7 linked regions of the Ovis aries genome follow. The protein of the gene in region 2 interacts with the protein of the main gene of each other region in a pairwise test. Links are inferred from orthologs where the notes say so. Each region holds a gene or a part of one and is shown on either strand. Other genes may lie near its edges. The genes, in order: RUNDC3A, AP1M1, KRT40, ENTR1, MTF1, AP2B1 and ZBTB8A.

What was found.
Region 1: the proteins of AP1M1 (region 2) and RUNDC3A interact in binary tests that used the Homo sapiens proteins (3 or more experiments, as listed by UniProt). The two-hybrid records come from large-scale screens. The link is inferred for Ovis aries from reciprocal best matches to the Homo sapiens genes AP1M1 and RUNDC3A.
Region 3: the proteins of AP1M1 (region 2) and KRT40 interact in binary tests that used the Homo sapiens proteins (3 or more experiments, as listed by UniProt). The two-hybrid records come from large-scale screens. The link is inferred for Ovis aries from reciprocal best matches to the Homo sapiens genes AP1M1 and KRT40.
Region 4: the proteins of AP1M1 (region 2) and ENTR1 interact in binary tests that used the Homo sapiens proteins (3 or more experiments, as listed by UniProt). The two-hybrid records come from large-scale screens. The link is inferred for Ovis aries from reciprocal best matches to the Homo sapiens genes AP1M1 and ENTR1.
Region 5: the proteins of AP1M1 (region 2) and MTF1 interact in binary tests that used the Homo sapiens proteins (3 or more experiments, as listed by UniProt). The two-hybrid records come from large-scale screens. The link is inferred for Ovis aries from reciprocal best matches to the Homo sapiens genes AP1M1 and MTF1.
Region 6: the proteins of AP1M1 (region 2) and AP2B1 interact in binary tests that used the Homo sapiens proteins (3 or more experiments, as listed by UniProt). The link is inferred for Ovis aries from reciprocal best matches to the Homo sapiens genes AP1M1 and AP2B1.
Region 7: the proteins of AP1M1 (region 2) and ZBTB8A interact in binary tests that used the Homo sapiens proteins (3 or more experiments, as listed by UniProt). The two-hybrid records come from large-scale screens. The link is inferred for Ovis aries from reciprocal best matches to the Homo sapiens genes AP1M1 and ZBTB8A.

What each region holds. Positions count from the first base shown.
Region 1 is NC_056064.1:43,852,804-43,856,928, reverse strand, and holds the start of RUNDC3A (RUN domain-containing protein 3A), read right to left. Parts: upstream 2,887-4,125; 5' UTR 2,636-2,886; coding exon 2,529-2,635; intron 1-2,528. UniProt on the Homo sapiens protein: May act as an effector of RAP2A in neuronal cells.
Region 2 is NC_056058.1:6,573,172-6,576,211, forward strand, and holds the end of AP1M1 (AP-1 complex subunit mu-1), read right to left. Parts: intron 2,513-3,040; coding exon 2,387-2,512; intron 1,660-2,386; coding exon 1,584-1,659; intron 1,414-1,583; coding exon 1,391-1,413; 3' UTR 578-1,390; downstream 1-577. UniProt on the Homo sapiens protein: Subunit of clathrin-associated adaptor protein complex 1 that plays a role in protein sorting in the trans-Golgi network (TGN) and endosomes.
Region 3 is NC_056064.1:40,925,218-40,929,594, forward strand, and holds the end of KRT40 (keratin, type I cytoskeletal 40), read right to left. Parts: intron 3,603-4,377; coding exon 3,441-3,602; intron 3,362-3,440; coding exon 3,236-3,361; intron 1,809-3,235; coding exon 1,588-1,808; intron 774-1,587; coding exon 674-773; 3' UTR 582-673; downstream 1-581. UniProt on the Homo sapiens protein: May play a role in late hair differentiation.
Region 4 is NC_056056.1:3,075,446-3,079,564, forward strand, and holds the start of ENTR1 (endosome-associated-trafficking regulator 1), read left to right. Parts: upstream 1-1,223; 5' UTR 1,224-1,378; coding exon 1,379-1,448; intron 1,449-1,551; coding exon 1,552-1,701; intron 1,702-2,386; coding exon 2,387-2,455; intron 2,456-3,163; coding exon 3,164-3,276; intron 3,277-3,497; coding exon 3,498-3,905; intron 3,906-4,119. Other genes in the region: PMPCA (mitochondrial-processing peptidase subunit alpha), read right to left, coding at 1,055-1,125. UniProt on the Homo sapiens protein: Endosome-associated protein that plays a role in membrane receptor sorting, cytokinesis and ciliogenesis. Involved in the endosome-to-plasma membrane trafficking and recycling of SNX27-retromer-dependent cargo proteins, such as GLUT1.
Region 5 is NC_056054.1:12,611,724-12,615,334, forward strand, and holds part of MTF1 (metal regulatory transcription factor 1), read right to left. Parts: intron 3,335-3,611; coding exon 3,238-3,334; intron 2,512-3,237; coding exon 1,916-2,511; intron 1-1,915. UniProt on the Homo sapiens protein: Zinc-dependent transcriptional regulator of cellular adaption to conditions of exposure to heavy metals. Binds to metal responsive elements (MRE) in promoters and activates the transcription of metallothionein genes like metallothionein-2/MT2A.
Region 6 is NC_056064.1:14,480,591-14,484,955, forward strand, and holds the start of AP2B1 (AP-2 complex subunit beta), read right to left. Parts: upstream 2,837-4,365; 5' UTR 2,597-2,836; exon of another isoform or gene 1,606-2,596; intron 1-1,605. UniProt on the Homo sapiens protein: Component of the adaptor protein complex 2 (AP-2). Adaptor protein complexes function in protein transport via transport vesicles in different membrane traffic pathways.
Region 7 is NC_056055.1:235,067,175-235,071,394, forward strand, and holds the start of ZBTB8A (zinc finger and BTB domain-containing protein 8A), read right to left. Parts: upstream 2,868-4,220; 5' UTR 2,721-2,867; intron 1-2,720. UniProt on the Homo sapiens protein: May be involved in transcriptional regulation.

The sequences.
Region 1 (4,125 bases), on a different chromosome or scaffold from region 2:
CACCATCACCCCGATTTTACAGATAAGATAACTGAAGGGTCTAAGAGACTGACTGATTTGTTCAAAGTCACACAGCTTGTGAGGCGTCAACAGGTATGTCTGATCCCAATGCCCTTGCTCTTTCTGGGGCCTCCTGGTGGATGTCAGGATCAGTGAGGCCCCAAGCAGCCCCTGCCTCCTCCACACTCTGTCCTCCGCTCTGTGCTCTAGCCCTCGAACACTGGCCGCCAAGGCTCTAGGCCAATGGCACAACTAACCCCACAGACCTCAGTCCCTTCCTTTGAGTTGGTCTGGCCTGAGATAAGAGTCAGGTCAGTTGCTGGGGTTGTACCAAGGGAGGCAGCCTGGATGGACTCAAATCCTGTGTCCTGGTGGTACCTTTGTGGCCTTGGACAAGTCACTTAATCTCTCCAAGGCCCATATTCCCCAGGTGTAAACAAGAACAATAGTACTTGTCTCATCAAATTTTGGTTCAAATTCCGGGAAAAGTCTGGGAGAAGGTGAGTGAGCAAGCCATGGGGCAGGGGTGGTAAGGAACTGGGCCATTAATGGCATGACCAGAAGGAGTCTGTGTTTAGGACATTATCTGGACTTTATTATACAGCCCTGCTCCTGTGATGTCTTCTGGTCATTTGGGTCAGACCTCAGTGGGGGCCTGTGGCTGGTTTCAGCATGGCAGCCATCTGCCATCTGTCCTCAGGGGTGCTGTGGTGCTGGTCATCGCCCCCGGGAGCCCCATGGTGTGTTCCCTGCTCAGAGGTGCAGTGGCTGCTGCAGGTTACCATGGAGACAGGGCAACCAGGGCCCAGGGGAGCCCTTGGCCTGCTAAAGGGAACTGTTCCCAGAGCTGGAGGCAAACCACGTGACTGTGATGAGGCGGCAGGGACCAGAGGGATTTCTGAGCCTCTGTCATGCTCGCAATCACCCCTTCCCCGCCAACTCTATCCCTCACATTCCAGCTCTAACCCCACTTCCAGTCCCCCAGAACGTCTGCTTCTGCAGCTGAGGCCCAGAGGCGTTTGTCCCTTCCCTACACTTTCAACAGTCCCAGCTGTCCTGGCAGGCAAGAGAAGGCAGAAGAACCTAGGAGGTCAAGAGAGATGAGAGGGACAGGAAGGATGGCATAGGGACGGGCTGTTTTCATGTGCCAGGTGCAGGACTAGGCTCCAACATGCATCATGTCATTACCATTCCTTGGTGTGGCTGTTATACCTACGATGGAGATGGTGAGACACCCAAGGCTCAGAGTGGTTAGGAGACTTCCGCAAAGTGGTACAGCTAATAACTGAAGAAAAGCCTGAACCTAGGACTGTCTGTGTTTTACACCACACTGGCAGGGCCTGGGAGGTGAGCATGGAGGCAGAGGCCTGCATTTGGGCTGGGCCACTGCCGCACTCATTCCTTCTCTAACGTTCCGGGCATTTTTACAGAGGTCATGTGTGCACAGCACCATGCTAGGCACTGGGGATATAATGGTATGAGACAGACGTAGTAGAGCTGAGTGTGCACCCAGGAACCTGGAAGAGTTGTAGGAGACAGACCCAGGGCATCAGGTGGGCACTGATCCCTGGGGGAAGGAGCAGGACCACGGCTGGTATGCAGGCAGGTGGGTCTGGCAAGGGAAGACAGCTGAGCCCTCAGAGGTGGCGTGGGGCAGAGGGGAGACTGCAGGTGGAGAAGGCAGCTGGCAGGGGGCTCCAAGGGGTAGAGATGAGTACAGGTAGGGGCTGAGGACTGGTCATTCCTGGCTTCAGGGAGGGGAGAGTGAGCCACTGCAGGGCTGGGGAGTGGGTAGGTTCACTTTCTGGGCCCCAAGAAAGCGGGCAAGTCTTCCCAACACTGCGACAACCCCACCCTTGGGAACCAAGGGCTCGGCCCTCCCAATCTCCTCCCCTTGGACCCGGGAGAACACAGCTCCTGCGGTCAGACCCTCACTCCTTCCCACCACAGGAGCAGTGCTGTGCCTTCACTGGATGGATTCCAGGACTTCACCTACATGCCCGGTTGACCCTGCCATGGGCTGCAACTAACTGCCTAGAGATGGAGGAGGGCACCACCCCTGCTCCAGGATTTGAGAATTGGGAAATCTCCCAGAAAAGCCCTACCCCAGAGAGGCCAGGTTGGCAGGGGTGGGAGTGAGGACATGCTTGGAGGGCGTTCATTCCCCTCTCCCATCAGTTCTTCTCTGCCCACCCAGCTCCCGCCCCCAGCAAGGGAGCCAGCCCTCCCCACCCCTCCCCCTCACAGACAATGTCACTTCCTGGTTCTCACAGGAAGCTGCAGTGCCAATTAAACACCCCTCACCCTCCAGGCCCCAGGCTGGGCACAGGCCTGGCCTGGTCTGGCCTAGAAGGGTAGGGACCAAACCTCTAGACCCTCTCCAAGCCTGGGTCTGAGGATAGCGGACGCGGGCTCCTCTTAACCCTGTGCTGCCTCCCTTTTCTTCGCGTCTGCTGTGCATCCTCGCATCCAGCCGGCCCCGTCGCCTCTCCTTGACCACCCCACCCCCGCCCGCCGGCGGTGCCCACCTGCACACGGTGATGAGGTTCCTGCGCTCCACGGCCACATTGCGGGAAGACGCTTTCTTGGAGGACAACCCCAGAGCCATGGTGGTCTGGACAAAGCTCGCTTCCATCCAGATGTGTGGCCACTGCTGCCGCCGCCAGCTGCCCCTCACCCTGCCCGGCGCCCCGGCCCCCCCACCGCCGGATCACCGCTGGGCCCTCTGCCCGCCGGGGCACATCGACCCCTCCACGGCCATCCTCCAGCCGCTGCGCGTGTTGCCCGGCCCCCTGGCTCTCTCCCCCGGCGGCGATTCCGAAGCAAAACAAGGCCGGGGAGGGAACTCTCCGAGGTGCTGAGCCGGGGCCCGTCACCCCCTCCCCTAGCTGCCCGCCCCCCTCGGCCGGTGACGTCAAAGCCCTCGAGCCCCGCCCCCTGGCAGGCCGGGGACCAATCCGCAGAGGGTGCAGGATTTGGAGGGGGAGGGGAAGGGACAGGGGCCTCAAGGAGCGCCGAGAGGGTCCCAGGGAGAGGCAGCGATTGGAAGGAAGAAAGGGGGCTTCTGGCTTGCCCTCCACCCCCAGGCTCAGAGCCCAGGACCCCACGTCTCGCGTCTCTGCGTCCCGACTCCTCTACTCCCTTGTTTCTGACCTCTGATCAGTGGTGTCTATCTCAGATGTCTTCTCATTTCTCCTCACCTTTATCCCGGCCCCCTCCGCCCACCCGTTGTCTATGGCATTCCCAGTGAGGCCAGGCCAGGTCTGCGTCCAGAGACCCTGGAGACCAAGGAGCAGTCGGAAACTGCGTATCTGTCTGCCCCCGGGCTTGGTTCGTCTGCGCCAGCCGGCGGAGTCCACCGCTGTAGGGTGGGGGATGGGAATTCAGAAGGAGCCGTAGAAGCCCTGAGCCTGGAACCCGTCGGGACAAAGAGTGGAGAGTAGACTGGCAGCTAAGGGCCTGGGCTCCGTGGAGGTTCCCAGCAGTAGAGCTGATGCCCATAGTGGTGCCAAGTAACTGCTTCTGAGTCCTACCTCCTCACACCACCCCAGAGGCAGCTGGTTTGAGGATTAACCCCTTGGTTGCTAGAATTGCTGCAGGGTGCCACCAACCCTCTCTTCAAGGCCAGAAAAGCTGGTTGCATCCATTTTCCGTGTTTATTTTTTTAAATTGAAGTATAGTTGATTGACAGTGCTGGTTGCGTCTTTTAGGTGGTTGCATCCTTTAGGGAAGGTGGGGGAAACAGAGGGACAGTCTGGCTTCCATACTACCCGTTGCTCTCTCACATCACTGCTCCCACATGCTCCATCTCTCTGTTCCTCTATTTAGCCTGTTCTCTTTCAACCACTGAAATCCCCAGCTCCCGCAGAAAGGCTTTCTGTGTTGATCACAAGAGCTTCACCCAGTTTCTCCATCTGGCCTCAGAAATGTCCATTGTCCAACTCTGCCCACTCTCTGGGTTGACGCTGCTCGATAGTGGCTGGTCAGTGTCTCCACATTGCTCCAGATGGGCACTCACATCTGAAAATGACCAGCAGGCAGGGACCCTCCATTAGCACAAACAGAGGAGGGAGAGATGAAAGACCTGTAGAAATTCCCAATCTTGGTCTGACTTCCTGGGGACTG
Region 2 (3,040 bases):
GGTGATACGGGAGAGGGAAAGGGAGACACAGCCCCTGCAGGCAGCAGGGGGCAGGCCTGTGACTGCAGTGGGCAGACAAGCTGCCTTCTGCCCACGGCCCTGCCGAGACCCCCCTGTGGAGGGGGCGCCAGGCCGCGGTCCTCAGACTCCAGGGCACGTATGAATCACATGCAGAGCCTGTTAGCCGGTCTCCTGGCCCCACCTCCAGAGACTGCCACGGCGGGTAAAGGAGGGCGCCTGTGAGCCTGCACGTGCGGGGGGACACTGATGCTGCTGGCAGCAGGACCACACTCTTGAGGAAGCCCACTGGGCTGCGGAGGGGAGCAGGCTGCTGGTGGCCCGAGGGCCGAGGGCTGTGACGGTCATCTCAGACGGGACGGAAACGTTTGCCCGTGAGCCCTCCCCTCTGCAGCCCCTCTGGGAGGCCCCTGGGCAATGGCTCTGCTTGCTCATTGCCTGGTCCCGTCTTCCCCAGGGGACATAGGGGCCCCAGGGACTGGTGCCCCACTCAGGTTGGTGTGCGCCTACCCCTCTCCTGGGCACCCAGGAGTCAGCACAACGCTGTACCAGACGGAAGGCATGTTTAACCGATGGAGTTTAATGTACTCATGGCACAAACATGGACAGGGTTGGGGGCGGCGGTGTCCAAGCACAGATGGGGATGGCCTGGGACCCCCACCCTCTGAGGCTGGGGGCCCGCGCTGGACCCCTCTTCCCCTGGCGGGACAAACACTGATGTGGCTGAGTGACAGCATCATGTGGCACGGGCTGGCCCTGAGAAGGCGTCTCTATTCAAAGCTCCAGACCAGGAGCCTCTAGTCGAAACGCCAGGTGCTGAGAGGGCAAACCGGTGTCAGCCTCACTGGGGAGGAGGGCGAGGAAGGGGAAGCCTGTCCTCGCTAAGTGCTGCCTGAGAGCTTCAGGACGGGGGAGGGAGGCACAGACAGCGAGGATCACATACACAGCGACGGCCGGAGACAAAATCTAGGAATGCTCGATAAACCCACGGCATCCAACAGAGTGGCAGCACGAGGGCAGCCCTGCCAGCCTGGCCAGAGCGCGGCCCGGGCGGTGCTTCCCACTCTTTCTGTGACCGGGAGCGGAACAGCACAGAAGGCTGTATTTGACCTCTGGAGGGAAAGATGCCTTTCCTTCTCCCTAAACTGACTCAGGGACTGAGAGACAAGACCTCTTGAAGATGAGCCTCTTCTGGGAAAAGGGGACTTGGGAGGTGAGAGTGGCGGCGGCAGAGCAGGTGCACCTGGGAGGAGGGGCTCCTGGGTGGAGCCTGGAGGGGCGCCAGGGTCCAGGGGAGCCCCTCCCTCCAGCAGGCTGGGCAGGCGCTTCCACCGGGAGCCTCCGGGCTGGGAGGGTGGGCCACCACGGCTGCTCACTGGGTCCGGAGCTGGTAATCTACAAAGAGGGAGGGGGGCGTCCATTGTCTGCTCTGACCCTGGAGGAGGGGCCGCCCCACCTGCCCTGACCCTGAGGTTGCTCCCTGAGCACCACCCTGGGGACAGAGGCACGCCCACCAGGGGCCTTTTCAGCAATCCCCCCCTGCCCCTAGGGCGGGTCGCACGCACCTCCGTTCTGAGTGATGTAGCGAACCCACGGTAAGGCCTGGTAGCCACTCTTCTCGATGATCTTCAGGTAACGCACCTGCGGCACAGGCATCAGGGCCCTAAGCATGCACACGCGGCCCCACTCCTGGCTGCCCACCCAGCCACTCCTCCTGGGGCTGGGCTGAGACCAAGAGGGCGAGGGAGAGGGCGAAGCACATTAGTCTATTTCACACTCAGGCCGGGGGAGGGTGGAGATGCTTCTAGAAGGTGCGGCAAGAGCCAGATGTGCACTCGCAGGCACGACCCTCTAGCAGATTCCTAGAGAAGGGGTCAATCCCAGGGTTTTCTGCCCCATACAGGGCTTCCGTGGAGGTGCCAGGAAAATGGACCCCACAGCGGCAAGTGTGTGGACATTAGTTTTGGGGGCTGAATGCATCTCTGAGCCTGGAGCACAGGTCAGGTGTGAGCAGACCACTGCAGGCCTCTTTCCATCAGGGCCAGGCTGCCCACGGAGACGGGCAGGGCGCCCACGGAGACGGGCAGGGCGCCCACGGAGACGGGCAGGGCGCCCACGGAGACGGGCAGGGCGGCCACGGAGACGGGCAGGGCGGCCACGGAGATGGGCAGGGCGCCCACGGAGATGGGCAGGGCTGGGGAGCAGCTTGGAGTGCTGGGACGAGTCAGCTAGCACCCTTCGCTAACTGGCTGCACTCGTGTCTGTCACCTTCAACCCTCTGAGCCTGGACTGGTGCCTGGCCCCTGAGAGGCCCCGCTGGGCCTGTCCATGTCTGCCCCGGGGCCCCGGCTGCCCTGGTTGCACGTGCCTGGATGCCAGAGGTAGTGAAGTAGGGGATCTCGAACTTGACGCTGATCGGGGGCTTGCCCTCCTTGTCCTCTGCCTCCACGCTGGGCAGGCCAAAGTGGGCCCGCATCAGGTACTCCTTGCCGCCCTGCGGGAGCAGACCACAGAGGAGATGGTCAGGCGGAGGCCCTGGCAGGTCCATCCAACAGCTGCCCCTGGAGAATGCCAGGCTGAGGGCCTGGCCAACGAGTCCCTTCCTGCACGGTCTGTGGCCACCCTGGGCCTCGGCTCCTGCAACACACTCACACTTACCTTATCCTCTAAGCCTCCTGGGCTGCCCACACCAGCCCCGCTAGGGAAAATTCATCCTCTAATTCTGAGGATGAAGAGAAACTGCTACAAGTTCCCAGGCACAGAAGCCTAGTTGCGTCGAGGAAAAGAAGAACACTAGGCCTTGGGGAGGAAGGAGGGAGAGGAAGAGCGAGCGCTGGCACGGGGCGACAGGGCTGCCTGGGACTGACGAGCTGGCCCTAGGTCTCCCCCTGGAAGGGAAAGGCTCTGGCCCTGGAAGCGGACTCCAGAGCTGGGACTTGTAGCGGGGGAAGGAATGGCTGCCCTGCTGGTGCAGTGGTAAAGAATCCACCTGCCAATGCAGGAGATGCTGGTTCGATCCCTG
Region 3 (4,377 bases), on a different chromosome or scaffold from region 2:
GAAAATGCTTAGATAACATAGTGAAAAAATAGGTTAAAACTAAATGCATACGAAACTATGATTACTACCATTATAAGAAAGAAAACTGGAAGTTCCCCAAATACCAACAATGGATATTTGGGGTATGGAATTATGAGTGATTTTTCCCTTTCCTGTGCCAAATTGAAAAAAAAGGGAATCTAGTACTTTTATAATTAATATCCTCAAGTGTTTCTTCTCAGAATGATATATACACACCTATCTTCCATGATATATGACATTTTACATGAATTAGCTAATCTATTTGTATTCAAGGAGTTAAAAAATATTTTCCTTCTGGGTTTAGGCAAAATCAAACTACTGGCATTGTTTTAGACAATTATCTTGGCATCAAATGTTTATTATATTAACAGTAATGAGCTACAAGTCTGTATTTACCATTCTAAAGGAATGAAAACATTTTATTGGAGAGCAGCAAGAAAGCTTTACAGACTCCTAGAATATCACAAATAAGCAAGCAAGAGAGGAAATGACAAAACAGAGATCCTTCATGCATGCTTAGAGGACAATTTTAGAATACAAAAGCGTTCTTAACTTGAATTTCAAGTTTGGATGTCCCTGATCGAAGCACCGTCTCCTCTCAAGGATTCTGCTGGCTTCCCTTCCTCCATCTGCTGTGTTGGGTGTTTAACCTTCAGGGACAGCTGTTTTCAACTGTGCAAATTATGTACGCCGAGCATGGCTCACAAGTGTTGTTTGACGTGCTTGTTGCAGAACATGGGTTACAGGGAAGCCTGTGAAAAATCCATTTTTAACTAATCTCAACATGGAGAAGCTGGATAAAATGTCAACTCAGAAAAAAATCATGCCAAAATTTGCCCTTCAAATTATATTTTGAAGAACTCTATTTTCAGAATAACATTTGAATGAAAGAATTGCCACTTCATGTTCACTATAGCAGAGACAGTTGGATAAACCTTTATGTATTTTCTTTAGTTGGCAAATGCCATCTTATGTGTGTTACTGACTTTCCTTTTTTTCTTCTTTCAGTTTTATTGAGATATACTTGACATACAGCACTGTCTAAATTTAAGGTGTACAGCATGATTTGATTTATATACATCATGAAATGATTACCACAATAAATTTATTGAGCATCCATCAGCTCATACAGATACAAAGTAAAAGAAAAGGAAAAATATTTTTTCCTTGTGACGAGAACTCTTAGGATTTACTCTCTTAACGGCTTTTTCCAATGCCTGTTTAGGTCCCATTAGCCAAAAGTTATGCATATTTTGCCATTTGTCTAGTAGTTAAATCATTCAGTACCCTGGAATATTTCTTCAGAGTTTCCTGAAGTCAGGAGCAAAGGGAAACTCCCAGCTTGAAATGTTACATATTATATTTTTTCTGCCTTGGAAATTTAGAACATTTTGAACATTTCAATTGACATGTGACTAGCCTTGCTGCTTTTCATCACTCTTTAAGAATATCCTTTAACTCCTTTAAGGAGGTTTGAATATGGCCAGATCTTTGGGAAACAGGATGGTCCTTCAAGAGCCTCTGTGTGACTCTGGGGGATTTTAAGAGGGATTGTGTGGAACTTGCCTGCTGTCCTCGCTGTCCAGCAGCCCCCGGTACGTGTTGATCTCACACTCCAGCCGGGCCTTGGTGTCCAGCAGCACCTGATACTCCTGGTTCTGCCGCTCCAGGTCGCAGCGGATCTCAGCCAGCTGGTTCTCCACATTATCGATCAGACACTGTATCTGGGCCAGCTCCGAGCTGTACTGGGCCTCAGTCTCCGCCACGGTGCATTCCAGAGATTCTGTCTGCAGAAGGAAAGAGCGTGTAAAGAAGGTGGTTGTAGGACAGTCTCTGGGGCCAGATTGCCTGTTTTCCAACCCTGCTCTACTCTTATCTTTCCAGCTATGTGACTTTGGAAAATTACTTAGCTTCTCTGAGCCTCAGTTGTTGTTGTTGTTGCTTTTTCCAGTTTGGGCATTATTTATTTAGTATAAATACATTTTAAAAGCCCCAAATCTCCTACTATTTTACCACCCTGGAAACACCACGGTGTCAAAAGTCCTGTTAAGATCGAAGATTAACACCTGCTAGAGCCATCAGTCTGAACTCAGTTTTACTGTATAAAAAATGAAGAGTGCAAAGTACCAACCTCATAGGATGGTTGGAGGGTTAAATGAGTAAATATACATAAAGTGTCTAAAACAGTGCCTGGAAAATTTTAAAGGTAGTAAGAGTTATCATTACCACTATGGCCTCTGCGACCTATAACCTACTAGTGTAGCCTAGTGAAGATCAAAAGCATTTGAGAGAAAATGTTGTAATGGGCTCCTGGCTCCTAGTGTGGTTAAGAGAAGAGGCTCTGAGATCGAACCACTTGGATTCAGCTTCCACTTTTGCCTCTTAAAACTTGTGTGAACCCCTGTTACTTAATCTGAGCCTCAGCTTTCCTCATCTGTATAATGGGGTCAGCGGAGGGATTTACCCTATAAGGTTAGTGTGAGAATTAAATTAGCGTTGTGCCTCTCACAAGATGAATGCTCAGCTCTTATTCATTTAGACATTCTCTATAGGACCTAATGTGGCTCACACAGCAATGGAGATGCTTAGTGTAATCTTGAATACATGGTATTTTTGCTGCTTGGGTGAAGCATGGTACAGGGAAGGGTCCAGCTGAGGTGTGCATCCTGGGAAAGTTTAAGATAGTTATAGAATGTAAAGTCTGAGCATCTTCATTTTAAATGTGATGGTGAGCTTGGAAAATTGGCCCAAACCACAAAAGAGTTAGTGGGAGAAAACATTCATGAACCATGAAACCAACATCTCCAAAATTTGCAAGCAACTTATGTGGCTCAAATTTTTTTAAAAAAGAACAACCCATTCAAAAAATGGGCAGAGGACCTAAACAGACATCTCTTCAAAGGAGAGCCTTTGGTTTGTAAGTTCCTATCTCGTTCTGCTCTTTCTGTTCCCTCTCTTTGTCTCTGGAGGATGCTGCAGGATCATGCCCAAGCCCAGAAAGGAAGGTCAGGACATCCTAGTGGTACATTACAAATTGTCGACCTATCACTTCCGCTTCTAGCTGGGTAAACAGCATCCTTGAAAAAGGGAAGGAAATTCAGACCTTCTGCTGCATAAACTGTGGGTTTGTCCTTTGGGTTACAGAATAGGGGATAGTAAGTATCTTAAGCATGATTCTTCAGTGACAAAACGGAGTGGTCTTGCCCTTACATACCAGGCTCTGCTGTGCTTGAAGCTCAATTTCCAGAGCGTTGGCTGTGCGCTTCAGTTCCAAGATCTCCGTCTGGCAGCCCTGCAGCTGCTCTGCACTGGATAGCTGCTGCTGATTCAGTTCCTCTGTCTGAAATACAGGCATGATTAGAATATGCAAATTAGGCAGAAGTCTGGATGCCTGTCATTTTATTGCTCCAAGTGCCAACCTGAACAGCGAACCATTCTTCCACGTCTCTGCGGTTGTTGGCGAGCACAGTTTCATACTGACAACGCATCTCATCCAAGACTCTGTTAAGATCCGTGGTGGGGGCAGTGTTTAGCTCCACACTGAGCCGGTCGCCCAGCTGTCCACGAAGCACGTTGACCTCCTGAGTTGGAAATGGAGTAAAGAATGTGACTTGTGGGGAAAAAATTCAATTCGATATACCAACAGCACCCCATTTCTGGTTTTTGCAGTAGTGAGTAGAAGTGTGAGATTTAGATTCAGATTGCCTAGCTTGAGTCTCTTTTCATCACTCAATTTTTTCATCTGTGAAATAGGTATGATTTTACCCTTACAAGAGAGTTATTGTGAGATATATGAGAGTTCATATTCATAGAAAACACTTAAGTCCTAAGTGCACCATAAGGTCTCAATGTTAGTTACTATTATCATAAACAAATGTTCAAAGGGAAGATATACTCTGTAACACCATTCAGCTTTTCAGTTTTCAGCTTCATAAATGTAGGATAATTATATAATTCACAATTGACGATTTCAAAAGTTTATAAATGCAGAATATTAAAAAAATTAGTCTAAATATTGCATGAATCTTTTCTCCTTTATGAAATGACCTTCGCACTCTGCAATTATCAGCTTGATTTTCATACTTTATGAGTTAGAGATAAAAGTGGCATAAAACACCCAGGAAAGCTATTTGTGGAGCTACGTTCTCCCCCCAAAATAAAGGCAGGCGAAGTTCCTCCATTCGGCACTGGCCAGTGGTCATTTCACGTTTACATTCAGAGATACACCAGAATGATCAGGCTGAATAGTAACAGTGCCTAGAGTGAGTTTTTTCCACATCAGTCAACATCTACTCAAGTTCTATGAATATACTCAACATGAGCTCTCCCAGCTTAACTTTGTCACTTTGAGGGTCC
Region 4 (4,119 bases), on a different chromosome or scaffold from region 2:
ATCTCTTTATGTAGAGGATTTCTACACCGTCCTAGGGAGAGAGCAGAGGGGTGACCAAGAGCACCCCTGAGGGAACAAACTCTGGCTGAGCCGAGGCACTGGAGGCAAGCTGGTGCTGTGTCTATGAAACAGTAGTAACAGCCCCTTGGGGTGGGGGCTGTGCGGGTTAAGCCAATTTCTACTCACAGAGCACTTGACCAAGCTCTGCCCTTCAACAGCGCCCCTGGAGTCTAAATGGAAGCCACGCCTCTTTACCAGGTCCCAAAGGCTTTGTATGGTCTGACCCCTGACTCACTCTCCAAACTCATCTCCTAACCCGGGAGCCGCGCCACACCAGGTGCACCCCCCCTCAACAGGCTGGGCTCATCACTCCCACAGCTGGGCCTGCCTTCTTCGCCCGCACTGCTCACAGCGCTGGCCCTTCTCTCATTCCCCACCTCTCCTGGCTTAAACGTCACCTCCTTGGAGGCTGCTCTTCATTCTTCCTGAAGTTGTCTCCTGTTTCCTACCGCTGAACTTCGGCTTCAAAGCTGAAACTCTAGGTGCGCGATTGTCTGAACCCACCGCCTGGTTTCTGTCATCACAGCACCCGGCTCCCACGCAACTCCTGTACACAGCGGGAAGGCAAAACCCCACCTGTCGCCTAAACCAAGTGCCCGTGTGGGAAAGGCCCGAGGTCCAGAGGAAGTGCACAGCACCGCGGCCAAGGGCACGGCTCTGGCCACCACGGAACCCTGGCTCCGCGGGCTCGGCCTCACAAGGGGACACGCGGCCGGAAGGGGCCCGAGGCGGAGATGACACGTGACCTCGGACAAGCCCCCCGACCGCCCGGGAGAAGCGGGAGGGAGAGGAGAGACGGATGAAGCTCGGGGCCGGAGCCCGGGGCGCCAGACGAGGAAGCCCCCACGTCGCCTCGGGGACGGGGCCGGGGTCCCGCACCCCCAGCCCGCTGACCGGCCGCCGCGCCACGGCATGGGGAAGCCAGAGGCGGGGCGTCCAGAAGGGCTCGGGCTGCCCCGGCCCCCGGCCGGCCCCCGGCCCGCCCTCGGCTCACCTCGGCCGCGAGCGGCCCCACGAGCCCGCGCCCCGCAGCAGCCGCGTCGCCGCCAGCACCATGGCCGCCATCTTGTGGCACCGCCCACCGCTTCTGTCGTCACTTCTTGCTCCGCCCCCGGCGCCCCGCCCCCCCGGCGTCCGCTCGCGGCGCTCGGCCTCGCGCTTCCGGTGCGCGGAGCGGAAGCAGCGGCTGGAGGCTCGGAGCGGCGGCCGAGCGGCGGGCGACGGAGGCGGGCGACTCGGGCCGCGGCCGGGACGGAGCCGGGGCCATGGAGCCGCCGCTGCCGGGCTGAAGAGGGCCGGCGCCGCGCAGCCCGCGGCGATGGCGGGCTACGCGCGCCGCCCGGGCGTCACCCCGCTGTCCCGGGCCCGGAGCCTCGTCATTCCGGACGGTGAGCGGGCCGGGGGCGGGCGGGCGGCCGCGGCCCAGCGGCCGCGCTGAGGTCCAGGTGAGGCGGGCGCGCGGGTGAAGAGTCGCTCTTGTTGTTATTACAGCTCCCGCGTTCTATGAGCGCCGGTCTTGTCTCCCCCAGCTAGACTGTGAGCGCCCCCCGGCCAGGGACCTGGAGTCCCACTTCTTCGGCTTTCGGCCGACGTTTATGTGCTATATGCCTAGTCCGGTGCTAGCTTCCGTGGGAGACACAGGTGAGAGACGAGCTTCAGGGACCCCGCCCTCCCCGGGGCCGGCGCTGCTTGCGGTACCGCGCGGTAGCGCAGCTCACCCCCGGCCTCGCGATGACCACTAACCCCACCGGGTGCCGGGCGCTGGGAGTCCCGCCGCCTGGAGCTCACCACAGTCAGAGAGTGGAGAACCCCCCGCCCCCGCCCCCGCCAGACAGTTCCAGTAGACCGCAGTAAATGTTGGCTTAGAGGTAGGCCCAGGGTGAGCACAGAAAACCCTGTCTTTCTTCCTAAGCCTTCAGCAGATCAGGCTTAAACCATTCTCTGGTCCCCTGCAGCTGGGCGGAGGCCAGCTTTAGTTCCTCCTAATTCTCCCCAGGTGGCTAACACTGCCTGGCCTTCAGGGTATTCCGGGGCGTTTAGGTGGTTCTATAGGGGTCTGAGAGCCATTGACCACCCACAAGGGCGTTCAGGAGGCACCACAAGACGCCTGCCCTACTGGGCGTCAAACCCATCGGGAGGTTTTTCAGAATCACAGATGCCAAGGCCCATGGCAGCAGCCCATGTCCAGAGGCAGGAGCCCATGGGCGTGAGCTTTAAACGTCCTCCAGGCTGTGAGAGACCACTGCACTAGAGACCCCGTGTCAGAGAGAGCTGGGGTCACAGAGCACTCGTGTGGTCACAGTGGGGTGATGGTGTCTCTCTGCAGATTTTGGCTATGGAAAGGGGAAGTGTGCTAAGCAAGGTCCACCAGGAGCTCAGAACACACACTTTGGAGGTAGAGTAGTTCGGTAATCCTTTATTTTTCTCTCCACCCACGTCTCCACGTGCCAGGCGCGTGCCCAGGGGTGGGGCTGTAGATCTGACAGCGTATAACTAGTCTACCTGGAGCCCAGAAGAGCCAGTGGGAGTGGAGCCCCGCAGATCTGATCTTCCCTGGGGGGGGGGGGGGGGGGGCGGGAAGTTGGGAAGTCACGCCTGAGGGGTCTGAAGAGACGGGGGTGGAGCTGAAGTCACAGGAGCCAACTTCACACAGGACTAGCAACTGGGCTGGGCGTTGTCGGTGGGCTGAGAGGGCTGCGGGGTGGCTGCCTGGGTCCCCAAGGAGTCGGGGAGAGAAGGGAAGGCTGAGGTGAGGCGGGAAGAGGCTGGCGGCGGAGCAATGACTTGACGTCTGCCGGCCCCGCTGCAGGCTGCTCCTGGAGCCTCTGGCCGGGAGGGGACCCATGGGCGCCTTCGCACTCCCCAGGTGGAGCCCGATGGCAACAAGGTGCAGGGGGCGCGGGGCTGGAAGGAGGATCTTGGGCGCCCGAGTCAGTCCATCCTGTCAGGTAGCTAGTCGTCTCCCGGCATCACCGGGGTCTGGGGAAGGATGTGAGCATTCCCGATGTAGGTGGGGTCGCGTTCAGGCGAGAGCAGTGAATAGGAGCTCCCTCTGAGGGCCTTCCGGAGGCTTTTTGCCTGAGTGACACCTGGTATCTTTCAGATGATAAACTCGGAGACCTCGAAGCGGCAAATCCATTCTCCTTTAAAGAGTTCCTGAAGACCAAGAACCTGAGCCTGTCGAAGGAGGACGCCGACAGCAGGGTTTACTCGAAGGTAAACCCAAGGCCGTGTCTGCAGCGACCCTAGAAACCCTCCAGACATCTCTCCTGACGCGCATGGGATGAGGGGCGAAGCGAGCAGCTGGTTTGCCCCGCGGAGCCGCAGCGTGGGGTTCAAGGCCACCGGGCTCCTTGCTCTCTGTGCCAGCAGCAGACATCTGGGAGGGACGGCCTGCAGCGGCCCCAGTCTGAGCATTGCTTCCCCACCTTCTCTAGGAAGCCACGAGGCACTCGCTGGGACTCGACTGCACCTCCCCAGCTTCCCAGACTGTGGGCTATGGCCTGGAATATCAGCAGCCATTTTTCGAAGACCCGACGGGGGCTGGCGACCTCCTGGACGAGGAGGAAGACGAGGAGGACGGGTGGAACGGGGCCTACTTACCGTCCGCCGTGGAGCAGACGCACTCCTCCAGGGTGGCCGGCAGCACGTCGCCCTGCAGCACGTACGTCTCCTTTTTCTCCAACCCGTCGGAGCTGGTGGGGCCCGAGTCTCTGCCCCCATGGACACTGAGCGACTCCGACTCTCGCATCTCCCCGACGGGGAGCCCCAGCGCTGACTTCACAGCCCACGGAGAGAGTCTGGGGGACAGGCACCTTCGGACGCTGCAGATAAGTTACGAAGCAGTAAGTGAGGGGGGGGTTGCGTCGGCACCCCACCCTGGTCACTGCTCGTGCCTGAGCAACATTCTTGGAGGATGCCGGAGCCCCCAGCGTCCTCCATGGCCTGGGGTTTGGGCTCCAAGGACGAAAGTCTGTGCTGCTGCGGCTGCGGCAGCGTCCCCGTGCTGACCATGTAGGCGCCTGGAAAGTCCCAAGGAGGAGCAGCAGAGGACTGCCG
Region 5 (3,611 bases), on a different chromosome or scaffold from region 2:
CACAGGCACAATGCGATGGGCACGATTAACACTGCTGTATGTTACACATGAAAGCTCTTTAAGCCGTGAATCCTCAAAGTTCTCTCACACACACATTTTCTTCTGTATCCTTAAGTTTTTATCTATCACGTGATGATGGATGCTCACTAAATGTGTGCCAAATTATTATGCTGTACGCCTCAAACTTATACTCTGCTATCTATCAATTATATCTCAATAAAACTGGAAGAAAATAGAAAAAAAAAGATCATAAATGAGATAGTAGGATCATTTTCTGTATACAGCCATCAGCAAATATTAAGAACAGTAAAAATAATGGGAAAAAAAGTGTTTTTTTGGCCATGTTGTGTAGCATGTGGGATCTTAGTTCCCCAACCAGGGATTGCCCTTTGCAGTGAAAGTGCGGAGCCTTCACCACTGGACTGCCTGAGAAGTCCCTGAAAATAATTTTAAATAATGAAAACAATAGTAACAACCAAAAAACCGAACCACCTGGAGGCAGGTTGGATCACAATGCTGAAGAGGCTGTTCCAGGGACTCTGGCCATCTGAAACTGGAACTAGGGTGCCTCCAGAGGTGGTGGCGCCCATCCCATTTATGGAACTTGAGTGCTCTTGCCATTTAGCTCCAACCTGCCTTTCTGGTTGTTTGGCAGCATCATACATCCACCAGACCTACTCCTGCTCAGTGCAGCCTTTCCTCCACCTAATTCCTGCTCACACCTCAAGAAGGCTCACCTGGCCCATATGGCCACCCAATAAGCCTTTAGTCTCTGAACCCCTCATCTGGCAGCACAATCAGCAGCATGGATTCTGGGACTGGTCTGCCTAGGCTTTGCCATTTATAAGCTGTGTGACCTTGGACTAGTCACCACTTAACTTCTCTGGGTCTCAGCTCTCCATTGATAAAATCATATCTACTTCCTAAGATTGCTGTGATTAAAATACTTAACATGGGGTGGGGGTGACATCTAGAGATACAAACATATACAGATGTTAATAATCATTTATCAATATTAATTCACTTATAATAAATGTATCACATTGATACAAGCTGTTAATAATGAGGGAAACTAGGCTGGGGGTGGGCAGGGAGCAGGAAGTGTATGGAAGTTCTTACTATTTGTTTGATAAAAACTAAAAAATATATATAATCTAAAAATAAGGTCCCTAAGGTAATGACTGGCACGTTAGACCCTCAATTTTAATAAGTGCTTAGTCAGCACAGGAAGCCCATACGTACATGAAGGGCTCAAAAAGTCACAACTATTGTTATTTTTTATTACCATTATTTTTATTATTTGACACTTTATCTACTGGTAGCATTAACTTCCTTCTAGGTATTTTAGCCTCTTTAACTAGAATATAAGTTTTTATCAAAAATAAATGTTTTTTTTTTTTTCATTTTTCCAGATTTCCAAGAGTATCCTGTGTGGTATCTGGTATACAGCAGGTTCTCAAAATATACTCAGTTGAACAACCACGTCATTTCCTTAGCCACTGAGACCATACACTTGGGTAGAAAATGGCTCTATGATGGATTCTGGGAGCACAGATTACTTCTGACTTGGCCACTGTGGTCTGTTTCCATCTGATGAGGTCCCATCAGTCCCTCAGCCCAGGATGGACTCTGCCTTGGAGAACGTTCTCGGACTCTCCTGTCAGAATTGACAGAATCAGACCGCAGCTGAAATACCTAGGTAAATCTGAAAATTGTTTCTCTGGCCCTCTATTATAGGTATTGACCGCAACATTCCGGGACTCACACTGCTTGATTATGGGGGAAATGACTGGTAGAGTGATGTGTTTCGGGGTAGAAACAACAGCCATTTTCCTTTTTTGAAGTAAAGGCCTCTGAACATGTCACCCACAGAAATACACTTCACCCACTGGACCCCTTTCCACATCATACTTACAATTTGCTCTTGAGTTTGCGGTGTGCTGGTGGTACCATTTAGTATCCACTGTAAGTTCTGCTCCCCCATGACTAGGCTGGGCTGCAGGATAGCTGCGCTGGGAGTCGGGGTGATGGTTAGAGTGGGATTACTAGTTAGGACAGAGTTGGCATCCAGGGGCAGAGTCTGGACCATGGCTGGCAGGGGCTCAGTAGTACTTTGTGTTTGGGGTGGTGCTGCCATGGCGGATGCCACTGCCGCTGCTGACGCCAAGGCCCCAGCAACAACAGAGAGTCCTGGTACGATGGGCTGCGGTGCCTGGAGGTGCGGAAGAAACTCTTGATGATTAGCAGCAAACTGCGTGCTGTGGGCAACAGGCACTTCTGGAGGTTGTAAGAGAGCAGGGGGGTTGCCAAATGCAGCTTGCTGGGAACCAGTTCCTAGGGAGGGAGCAGGCAGAGGAGCAGATGGTGCTGAGGCTGGTAGTAGAGGCTGGGGTGGCTCGGAGATGCCAGGCTGCAGTATAAGTGGAAGAGATAAAGATGCTGAATGTCTTGTGGATGGCGGAACATCACTGACTGACTCCGCATCACCATTAAAACTTTCAATCAAGGCAGCTGGCAAGAAAAAGAAATAGAAATATAGATACACATTCCAACCCTTATATAAGCCACAAAAACAGTCTCTATGGGCTACACCAAAGACAGCTGAAGTCTGTTAGAGACGATTCCTTCACTGCAGACAGGCTGGCTCTCTGCTTTTCACGTAATGACCCCTCTGGTCAAAGTACCAGGCTTTACCATCAACCTCACTTTCTAAACTCGAAGACCTAGTATGGATCTAACCATAAAAAATGTGTGTCCCGTGGCTTTTGTGGAAAAGAGGTTAGACATTCTTTTCTGGGCACATGACCACTGAACACACTTTTTAACTACTGTGACGCTTCAGGGACATATTTTCATTCAAACACAATTTGATCTACATATCTAAAGTTTGGTTTGTGGATTCTATCCACTCATGAATGGGGTGTCACATCAGAAGAAAGTGCTCACGACTCCTCTCACTTTTTGAAAGCCAACGAAAGATTCTGGAAAAGGGGACCCTCTTCATTTGAGGGTCCAGGAAAAGTAGATCCTCAAGTAAACCCTTGATGAGGGAAGCAGGGGAAAGAAAAAAATGGAATTGAGCTAAAAAGCCCATCCTTCTCTGATCCCTCAATGAAAGTACACTTCATTCAAAGGACCTGAAATATATCACTGTGCTTGACATCTACTGTGTCAGCAAGTGTGAATTCTCCTTCCCAGTGCGGAGATCTGAGCAGGAAGACAGTCTGTGTAACAAACCTGTCTGTTGAGGATCTTCCTGAATTGCCGGATCATCTGACTTCTGGAACATTGGTCCAAAAATGATTGCTGGTGAGAGAGTGCTGAGATTCTGGCCCTGTGGCAGAGACAGAGACAAACGCATGAGGCGCACCATCCAAAAGCAGGTCTGCACCCCAAGACGGCGCAGAGCAGCAGGATGAGAATGATCTTCGGCTATGCTTCTGGTTTCTAACTTTTCTTTTCCTAAGGTGACATTTATTCCCCTAAGCCTCAGACACTGAAGATCTGGGTCTTCAAACACTCTAAAGCAGGAGTTGGCAAACTGACTTGCTGGCTGAATGCCTGTTTCTGCAAATAAAGCTGTACTGGAAGAGGCACTCTGGTTCACTTTT
Region 6 (4,365 bases), on a different chromosome or scaffold from region 2:
GCGAAGCCAACATGGAATTGGAACTCACACTACCTTTTTACCAGGTCAAACTAGACAAGTCATCCATCGGCTGCTCTACCGGCTTGAGGTATGGCCTCAGGACATCGTTTTAAAACATAAATGAGGCTGACAGAGTCAAATGCACAATTTCTCTAACTTTCCTAGCCCAGAGTGTGATGTCACTGCATTTCAGAAAAGGCCTCTCTGTACAGGATTACACATCTAGATTTAACATAACCTAGTTTCTACTAAATATAGGCTGTGACAGTTTTCCCTTCTCAACTATCCCTCCTTCCTTCTGGTGCCCCTAAAGAGAATAAGGCCAGAAAAAAATTAATAGGGGTCTTAACTCCGAATGGCTCTCTGGGAAATAGCAGCTAATTTAGAGTTGGTGAGGCCAGTAAATCCACTCTCTTCACGTGAAGTTGGATTTTACACAGCTGGTGCCCGTAGGGAAAAAGTGAACAGAATTAAACCAAATTATAAAGTGGACAGGTCATCTTAGTAATCTTTCATTACAAGCATAAGGATGAGAAGTGCTAATTACACATTTCAATAACACATCTTCATGTATCATTTATTGCATACAAAATTACAACAGATAACTCATTACAACAGACATACCTATCATTCCCATTTAACTACAAAGTACTCTGCTAATATCATACAGTAAGAAAAAAGGTCTTAAGTTTCACATCCAATTCTTAATTGAAATAAACTCTGGAAAACTTAACGCCTGGAGAGAGAGAAGGAAGAAAAGAAAATGTGTCCTTCCTAATTTGTTACTTGTTCAGCTTGATTCAGAACTGTGCCTTAAATGTAATATTTTAAAACACAGGTAGAAAGCTGAGCACCGAAGAATTGATGCTTTTGAATTGTGGTGTTGGAGAAGACTCTTGAGAGTCGCTTGAACTACAAGGAGATCCAACCAGTCCATTCTAAAGGAGATTAGTCCTGAACATTCACTAGAAGGACTGATGGTGAAGCTGAAACTCCAATACTTTGGCCACCTGATGCAAAGAGCTGACTCACTGGAAAAGACCCTGATGCTGGGAAAGACTGAAGGCAGGAGGAGAAGGGGACAACAGAGGATGAGATAGCTGGATGGCATCACTGACTCAACGGACATGAGTTTGAGTAAACTTCGGGAGTTGGTGATGGACAGGGAGGCCTGGAGTGCTGCGGTCTATGGGGTGGCAAAGAGTCAGACACGACTGAGTAACTGAACTGACTAAAAATACAGGTGTGTTTAAAGAAGGAAAAAAAAAGATGGAAGAACCAGGTTTTCTTGAGTCTCTTAAGTCACAGAATGTTGTTTAGTGGTTAAGTCACATCCTACTGTTTTGCAGCTCCATGGACTGAAGCCTGCTAGGTTTCTCTGTCCATAGGATTTCCCAGGAAGGGACACTGCGGTGGCCTGCCATTGCCTTCTGCAGGGGATCTTCCCAAGCCAGGGACCAAACCCACGCCTACTGCAGGCGAGCCACCAGGGAAGCCCTCACAGAATGTTAGCTTTATACTAATTTTACCATCCAGCTTTCAGTGAAGCTATCTGCAGAACACCCTCTACTTTCGGCTTCTTTGGGAGTTTAAACTGTCAAATACCTGTAAACAGTTCTCACGTTCCCACCAGGCTTAGTCACCACTGGCAAAGTGTTACACGTTTTCTTGCACAGCTGCATCTCCTTCATCTGCTGCTTTCTATTATTACTTTGTAAGTGTACCCTGAAGCTAAGCAACACAAGTATACCAGGAAGGTGATTAATAATTTAAATTGTTCCTCACTGAGACCACTTTCTTGGTCATTCTATCTTTTCTAAACTTACTGCGTTTTTTTTTTTTACTTTCTCTTTAAACTACAAGGATTGTTAACAGTGTTTTGGCATTTTTAAAACCTTTAAAAGTGAAAAGTTTAATGAAGCAGCCACATTTTATTCACACCGCTTCATAATGGAGTTTAAAAAAGAGTCTGCCCCCAAATAGAAGAGTGCTGTTAAAAACTAACAGCATGAATAAACTCTTTGGATTAAAAAAAAAATGGAATTAACAGGAAGTTCCAGTTTCTTTACCTCTGTCTAATCCACAGCCTTTCTCAAACCAGACCGTTCCTTCTAAGACCCCGAAGAAAAAACTCCGGGCTAACATTTACTCTCAAGAGCTTCCCCCTCTCTCATATCGGGTCAATTCTCTGGGTTTTTCTTCCCTATCTTCGGAGTCAGGAATTCCTCTTCTTTCCCGAGGTGGTAAAAATTCTACGGCTATGTTCCTCCATTACGAAGCAGAGAGGCGTCTCTTAACCTCAAATGACGGGCGACGGCGAGGTTTACCCATCTAGGAGCAAAGCTCTGGGGAACCCCTTTTCCCTTTCCTGAGCTGAGCATGTCCTACCTAGCCTCTCAGAGAACGACGCCAAACCGGGAAGAAGCAAGGTTCTCTCCTTGGCCTCCGGTCTCCGCCAGCCACACCCCTGGCCTCTGACCCTCTTAACCCCCCGACTTCGAACATATCTTTCCCCCAATACCCCCCAATTCCCACCCCGAGGATTCCCTCGCCCCGCCCCAGCGGTGGAGTCCTTTTCTCCAACCCTCTTCCTCACAACGGTCACACCCGACGGCTCACTCCATCTTCAACGGTCACGGTCCTCGGATTTCCTCTCCTCCGCCTGTCTCCAACCAAGTCTGGGGATCCCCCATCCCCATCAAAAAGGGACACACCCCAGAGGTAGCCGCCTACAACTCACCGTAGGCAAGGGCGGGGGTGGCAGCAGCGGCCAGAGAGCACGGCCCGAGCGATGTTGTAATGGTTTCCTGCACGTCACGACTCCTTCTCCAGGTCTAAGCCACTGCGCAAAACCCACTTTGCCCGGTACAAAGATGGTGGACAGGAAACTCTTACGTCAGAGAGCCTCGCCGTGTGATGTCATCCAGACGCGCGAGAGAACGAGAAAGGAGGGACTACTCTCTGTCGCCTTGGAGACGGAAAAATTTTGCGCGGTGTGGTAGAGATCTGAGATCTAGGCTTCGGAGGAAATTCATCTGAAAGAATCTAGTAAACAAGCTGACATTCTCTGGATTTGTTTCCTCACACAAGACCTCTCTAAAAACTTACACAGAGTCAGTGAAATGCCTGTTGCTTTCTTTAAAAAACAACAAAACCCAGCTAATTCCTTGGGCAATTAAAATACACTGACAGTGGTGATCCAGCCCAGGATTATACAAGGGCAGTGGAACTGGAGGAGACTGGTGCAAGGAAAAAAGGTTGAGACGGTCTCAAATCTATGTGTGAATCCATTTGAATCCGAATCCCTGCCCTGAATGTGACTAGGAAAGTTACTTGTCTCTTCAACTTCAGTCTTCTTACTTGTGAAATAAAGACGATGATAATAACTCTTACCAGTTTATGAAGCTTAAACCGGATTAGGTTGGTAAGAAGCCTAGCATGTAATAGGTATGCTTTGTTAATTGTTTTAGTTAAGTCACAGCTGACTCTTGTGACCTCATGGACTGTAGCCCACCAGGCTCCTCTGTCCATGTGACTTCCTAGGCAAGCATACTGGGGTGGTTTGTCATTTCCTTCTCCAAGGGATCTTCCCCACCCATGGACTGAACCCGTGTCTATTGCATTGGCAGGCGAGTTCTTTACCAATGAGCCACCAGGAAAACCTACGAGTTTGCTTACGCGAAAGAAGTCCCTTTCAGAAACCAAGACCTAGAAATCTCTGTATCTTCCCCTCAAAACTAAAACTTCCCACATAAAACTGCTCTAAGTAAAAATAATAAAAAGTCTTTAATCAAGAAAGAAGAAGAATGTGAAGAGCCTAAGGCAGAAGCTGGGAAACCAAAATGCAAAGGGGACTGAGAAGCAGTCAGAGAGGTAGAAGGAAAAGAAGGCAGTCATAATGATTTAGAATGTTTTTAGAGTTCTATGAAAGTATAGAACTGAATATCAAAACTGTATCTCTGAGGCCTACCCCCCGCCTCCCCCAAATTTGTTGAATGACTAAATGTATGAGTGAGTGGTTAAGAAGAACAGTTGCTATAGAGAAAAGGAGGAGCCAAAAAGTGTCCAAGAATTTAGCAACACAAAGGTCTTTATGTCATTGCCAAGACCATTCATAGAGACATTGAAGGCATAAGTCACGCTGCAGAGGTTGGAAGATAAATGGGTGGAAAGGAATGAAAACAGATAACTCCATAAAAAAAAGTATGACTGAAAAGAAAAGAGATACAAGATGGTGTCTGAGGGAGAAGCAAGGATTTATGTTCTATACTCATACATTGTCTTTACACTGTCCCTTTAGCAATACCATGGGTTCAACTATTTTTCCTACTCATATGACTCCTAAAAAGCCTATCTCTAGCCTTG
Region 7 (4,220 bases), on a different chromosome or scaffold from region 2:
AATTAAACAATTGGAATCAGAATTACATATAAAAATGTTAAAAAAATAAAAACCATAGTTGAGGAAAGTCAGTGAGACGATGGCATTTAAAGTAAAGTCCAAAGATGGTAAGAGAGTTATTCAGATATCTGGAGGAAGGGTGTTCCAGGCAGATGGAACAACAAACGCAAAGGCTCTGAAGAGAAGCAGGCAAGGAGGTTGGAGAAACATCAAGAGCTGGGGAGGACTTCCCGGGCACTCCTGTGGTTAAGACTCAGTGCTCCCAATGTAAGGGGTATGGGTTGGATCCCGAGTCGGGGAGCTAAAAGAAATGTAGAAAATGGAGGGCTGGGGAGAGTAAGGAAAGACGGAGTCAGAAAGGAACAATAGATTGTGGGGCAGTAGGACATCCCGGGGCTCACCTTGTGGCTCAGCTGGTACAGAATCTCCCTGTAATGCGGGAGACCTGCGTTCAGTCCCTGGGTTGGGAAGATCCCCTGGAGAAGGGAAAGGCTACCCACTCCAGTATTCTGGCCTGGAAAATTTCAAGGACTGTATAGTCCATGGGGTTGCAAAGAGTCGGACACAACTGAGCGACATTCACAGGACATCGTGGGACCAGTTCCTGTGGACTTGGTAGACTCTTTAGGGCCTTGGGCTTTTGGTCTGAGTAAGACGGGGACCCACTGAAGATGAGGAGCCACTGACCAACTCTAAGCAAAAAAGTGACAGGAACTTTCCTCAAGGGGATCAAAACACTCGCACCAAATTCTTTATTATAAACAGATAGGTCACTGAAAAGGTTAAGCCTATTAGACATAAATTCCATTTTATCTAGAAAATAAGATTTAAATGATACAGGATGAATCAAGTATTACCCTATCTTACAAAGTTTGGGGGCTCAAATCATCATCAACAGCAGAGCTGGTGATTTCAAGGCCACAAGATAAGTTCTGGCAGGCTGCTCTCTTTCATGGGGAATTCAGGACTTGAAAGAAGCCAAGGTACTCAGGATGCCCCGGTCTAATATTTCACAGCCTAACCCAAACATGCCCATTTGGCCGGGGGTGGCAGGTTAGATTCTCACTTCCCATTTACCATTTGTGTGGCCAGGGGCACTACCAGGAATAAAGGTATCTGATTCCTGGTTATACTCTGCCTGACAGCCCTTCAGTGAAGGGCTCTTGCTCCAGGGGTCCCACAAATTCAAGCCTTATCTGAGACTCGGGGAAGATTAGAGAGGAAGTTTTGAGCCTAAGGTTTATTCTGCTGAGGATTTTAGACTTGTTTCTGATAAGATCGGTTAAGGGCTTTAGAGCATGGGAATGATATGACTTGCTTACTTAAAGAATATGGAGGTGACTTTAGGAGGAAATGAAGAGCAAGAACAGGAGGCAAGGGCGCTGGAAGCCTGCCACTGTTCACCTCCTGGCTTAACGTTTAAATGCTTAATGCGTTTCCTCACCTAGAAAGTGGAAAAACCACCGGCCTGACTAGATGGTTGTTTTATGCGAAAATAAGTGAAATAATTCATATAGGCGAAAGCACTCCATTTACTAAAGTTCTTCAAATATAGAGGCTTATTAAGAACAGAAGTAATACTGATGTGCGTAGTTTAAAAGCCCAATAGGTGAGAATCTACCGCTTGCAAACGCATTTTGTACTAAGCCTAACATAAGGTTATATGTCTACTATATTTCAATTTTAAAAGAAAAACGAAAGCCGGGGGCGGGGGGGAACCGCCTTTGAAAGATACAGAACCTGGCTACTGGCACAATCAATAATAAATAAGCGCATTTGAAGGCGAAGGTGCCAAACCGCTATTAACTTACAAAAGATGCCGTCTACATGGGCAGAAGGTGCGTATGTGTGAGTCCGTCATAAAACAGTAATTACAGCACAATATTAGTTAGGTATAGTAAGTCTGCTTGGGTTCTAAGCCCGGATCTGTCGCGTCACGATATAAAACCAAAGGATGGAAGATGTACGGAGAAACTCGGACTCCTGGCCGCAAGTGACAAGCCCCAGACCTCGGCCGCCCCATCCGGCGGGCCACCCATCACTGGCCGCGCAGCCCGAGCCCCGCCGGCCGCCGACCCTCCGGGAGTCTGCGGCGCCCGACGGCTCCAGACACGCCCGGCACCGGCCCCGCGCCGCCTTCCCGCCACCGCCGCCAGGAGGCTCCGCGCGCCTTCCCGCCTTTCCCCGCGCCACGGCCGGGCCGGGCCGGGCGGCCAGGCGGGCGCGGCGCTCGGCGGGGGCGGTCGGGCGGGCGCGGGCGGCGACGGCGCGGCCATTGTCCCGCAGCCCCTCCCGGGCGCGCAGGCGGACAGGGCCGGGCGGCAGGGCGGGCGCGGCGGCCGCGCAGTCCGGGAACCGGTGCGCCCCGCCGCCGCCGCCCGCCTCTCCTCGCCGGCCACCGCAGCGAGGCCAGGTTCTCGGCGCCGGCCGCCCGGCCGCGCCTCCTTTGTGACCGTCTCCAGCCCCTCAGACCGGCGCGCCACCGCCGCTGCGCCCGGGGCTGCAAATGGCGCCCGCTCGCCTCTGCGCCTCCCGCCGCTCTCCCAGCCCGGGGACGTCTGGGGGCGCAGCGCCCGGGCCGTATCCCGCCGCCACCGCCCGGGGAGCAAAGCCCGCGGCGCCTTCGCCCGCGCCTCCGCCCGCAGCGAGGCTTGCGGGCCCGTGCGAGGCTGCCCCGACGCCCCGCCCGCCCTCCGCCCGCGCGGCGCGCAGCCACTTACCGCGGGCCGCGGCGCAACGGCGGGTCGCGCGCGCGGGCTGGGGGGAAGATTCCCGGTTCTCGGCGGGGGAAATTCCCCCTTTCGAAGCCGTTCCTTTGCGCCCCAAAACAAGTAGCCCCAACGTGAGAGAAACAAAAGGTATTTGCTGACGTGGGCGTTGGACAGAAACGCCCGAGGGCTGGGGACACAATTAAAGGGGCAACGCACAGATTTCAGGCACCAACCAGCAGCTTCGCCCACTCCCCCTGCCCTTCCCTACACCCCGCTGCACGCTCCAGAGGCGCTGGGGTGCCCAGATCCCCGAGCAGTTGGCTACGGAATCATTATTTAGTCAGGAGCTTAAATTTTAAATTGTACTTTACGTTGGGAAAGGCGCCTCCGGAGGGCAGAAGGGCTGGATTTCTAGGATCTGGGGAATTTGGTTTAGGAAAGAGGGAGGGACTTAGGCGTGCCCACAATTACTGTATAAGTACATGTGACATTATTGTACTTAAGTTTAGCAGCGTCAAATGGAAGAGATCTGTACAGAATTTTTCCTTTTATTGAGGCACTCATTTTAGTCGGGGATACCTTTTCTAAACCTCTACAGGTCACAAGCATTGCATTTTCTTTGAAGAGGCTAACTCAAGAAGCTGAGATAAGAGAAAATAATTCTTGGTTAAGTTCAAAGAAAATAAAAAACTAGTAAGAATAGCAGATTTTGTGTTTTCAAATACAAAAATTCATTGTAGATCAAGTCTTTCTTCTGACATATTTATGTCCCTAATATTCAGAGTTCAGACGTCAGATTATGTATTTGCTAAAATCTTTATAATCACTGAATTTTCATTGTTACTATAGAAACAATTTTATAAATTAGTTTTCTAGTTCCTTATGTTGGAGTAAAGTACTGAAAAGTTCTGTGATATAGTAAAACAAACAAGACTCAAAATTTCAAAATATTTAGTCTTTGATGGACTTCTCTCATGTCATATTCAGTTATACTGGACAAAGTTTGTTACTTTGGTTTCATCATAATTAATTATGTGCTTTGAGGACCATATTCTCTACTAGAAGGGCTTCCTTAGGAGCACAGTGGTAAAGAATGTTCCTACAATGCAGGGGATGCAGTTTTGATCCCTAGGTGGGGAAGATCCCCTGGAGAAGGAAATGACAACCCACTCCAGTATTCTTGCCTAGGCAATCTCATGGACAGGGGATCTTGGCAGGCTACAGTTCATAGGATACAAAACACAACTATCTCTTAATATCACTTCTATATTACTCTCCAGTTATTTTGCTATTTAGTTCCATTTCCTCACATCATTCTGCACAGATCATTAAAAATGTGTTTGAAAACCATTAGGTATCAGGAATGTTGAATGTACTCAGACTATTTTACTAGCATCCCCATTGATAATTCTCCTAGATAGACCTGGGCATTGTTATAGAAAAGATTTTGGTGTTTTTTTTTTTTTTTTTTAGCTTTAATTGAAACTTGCAAAAGAGTTCTACAAACTT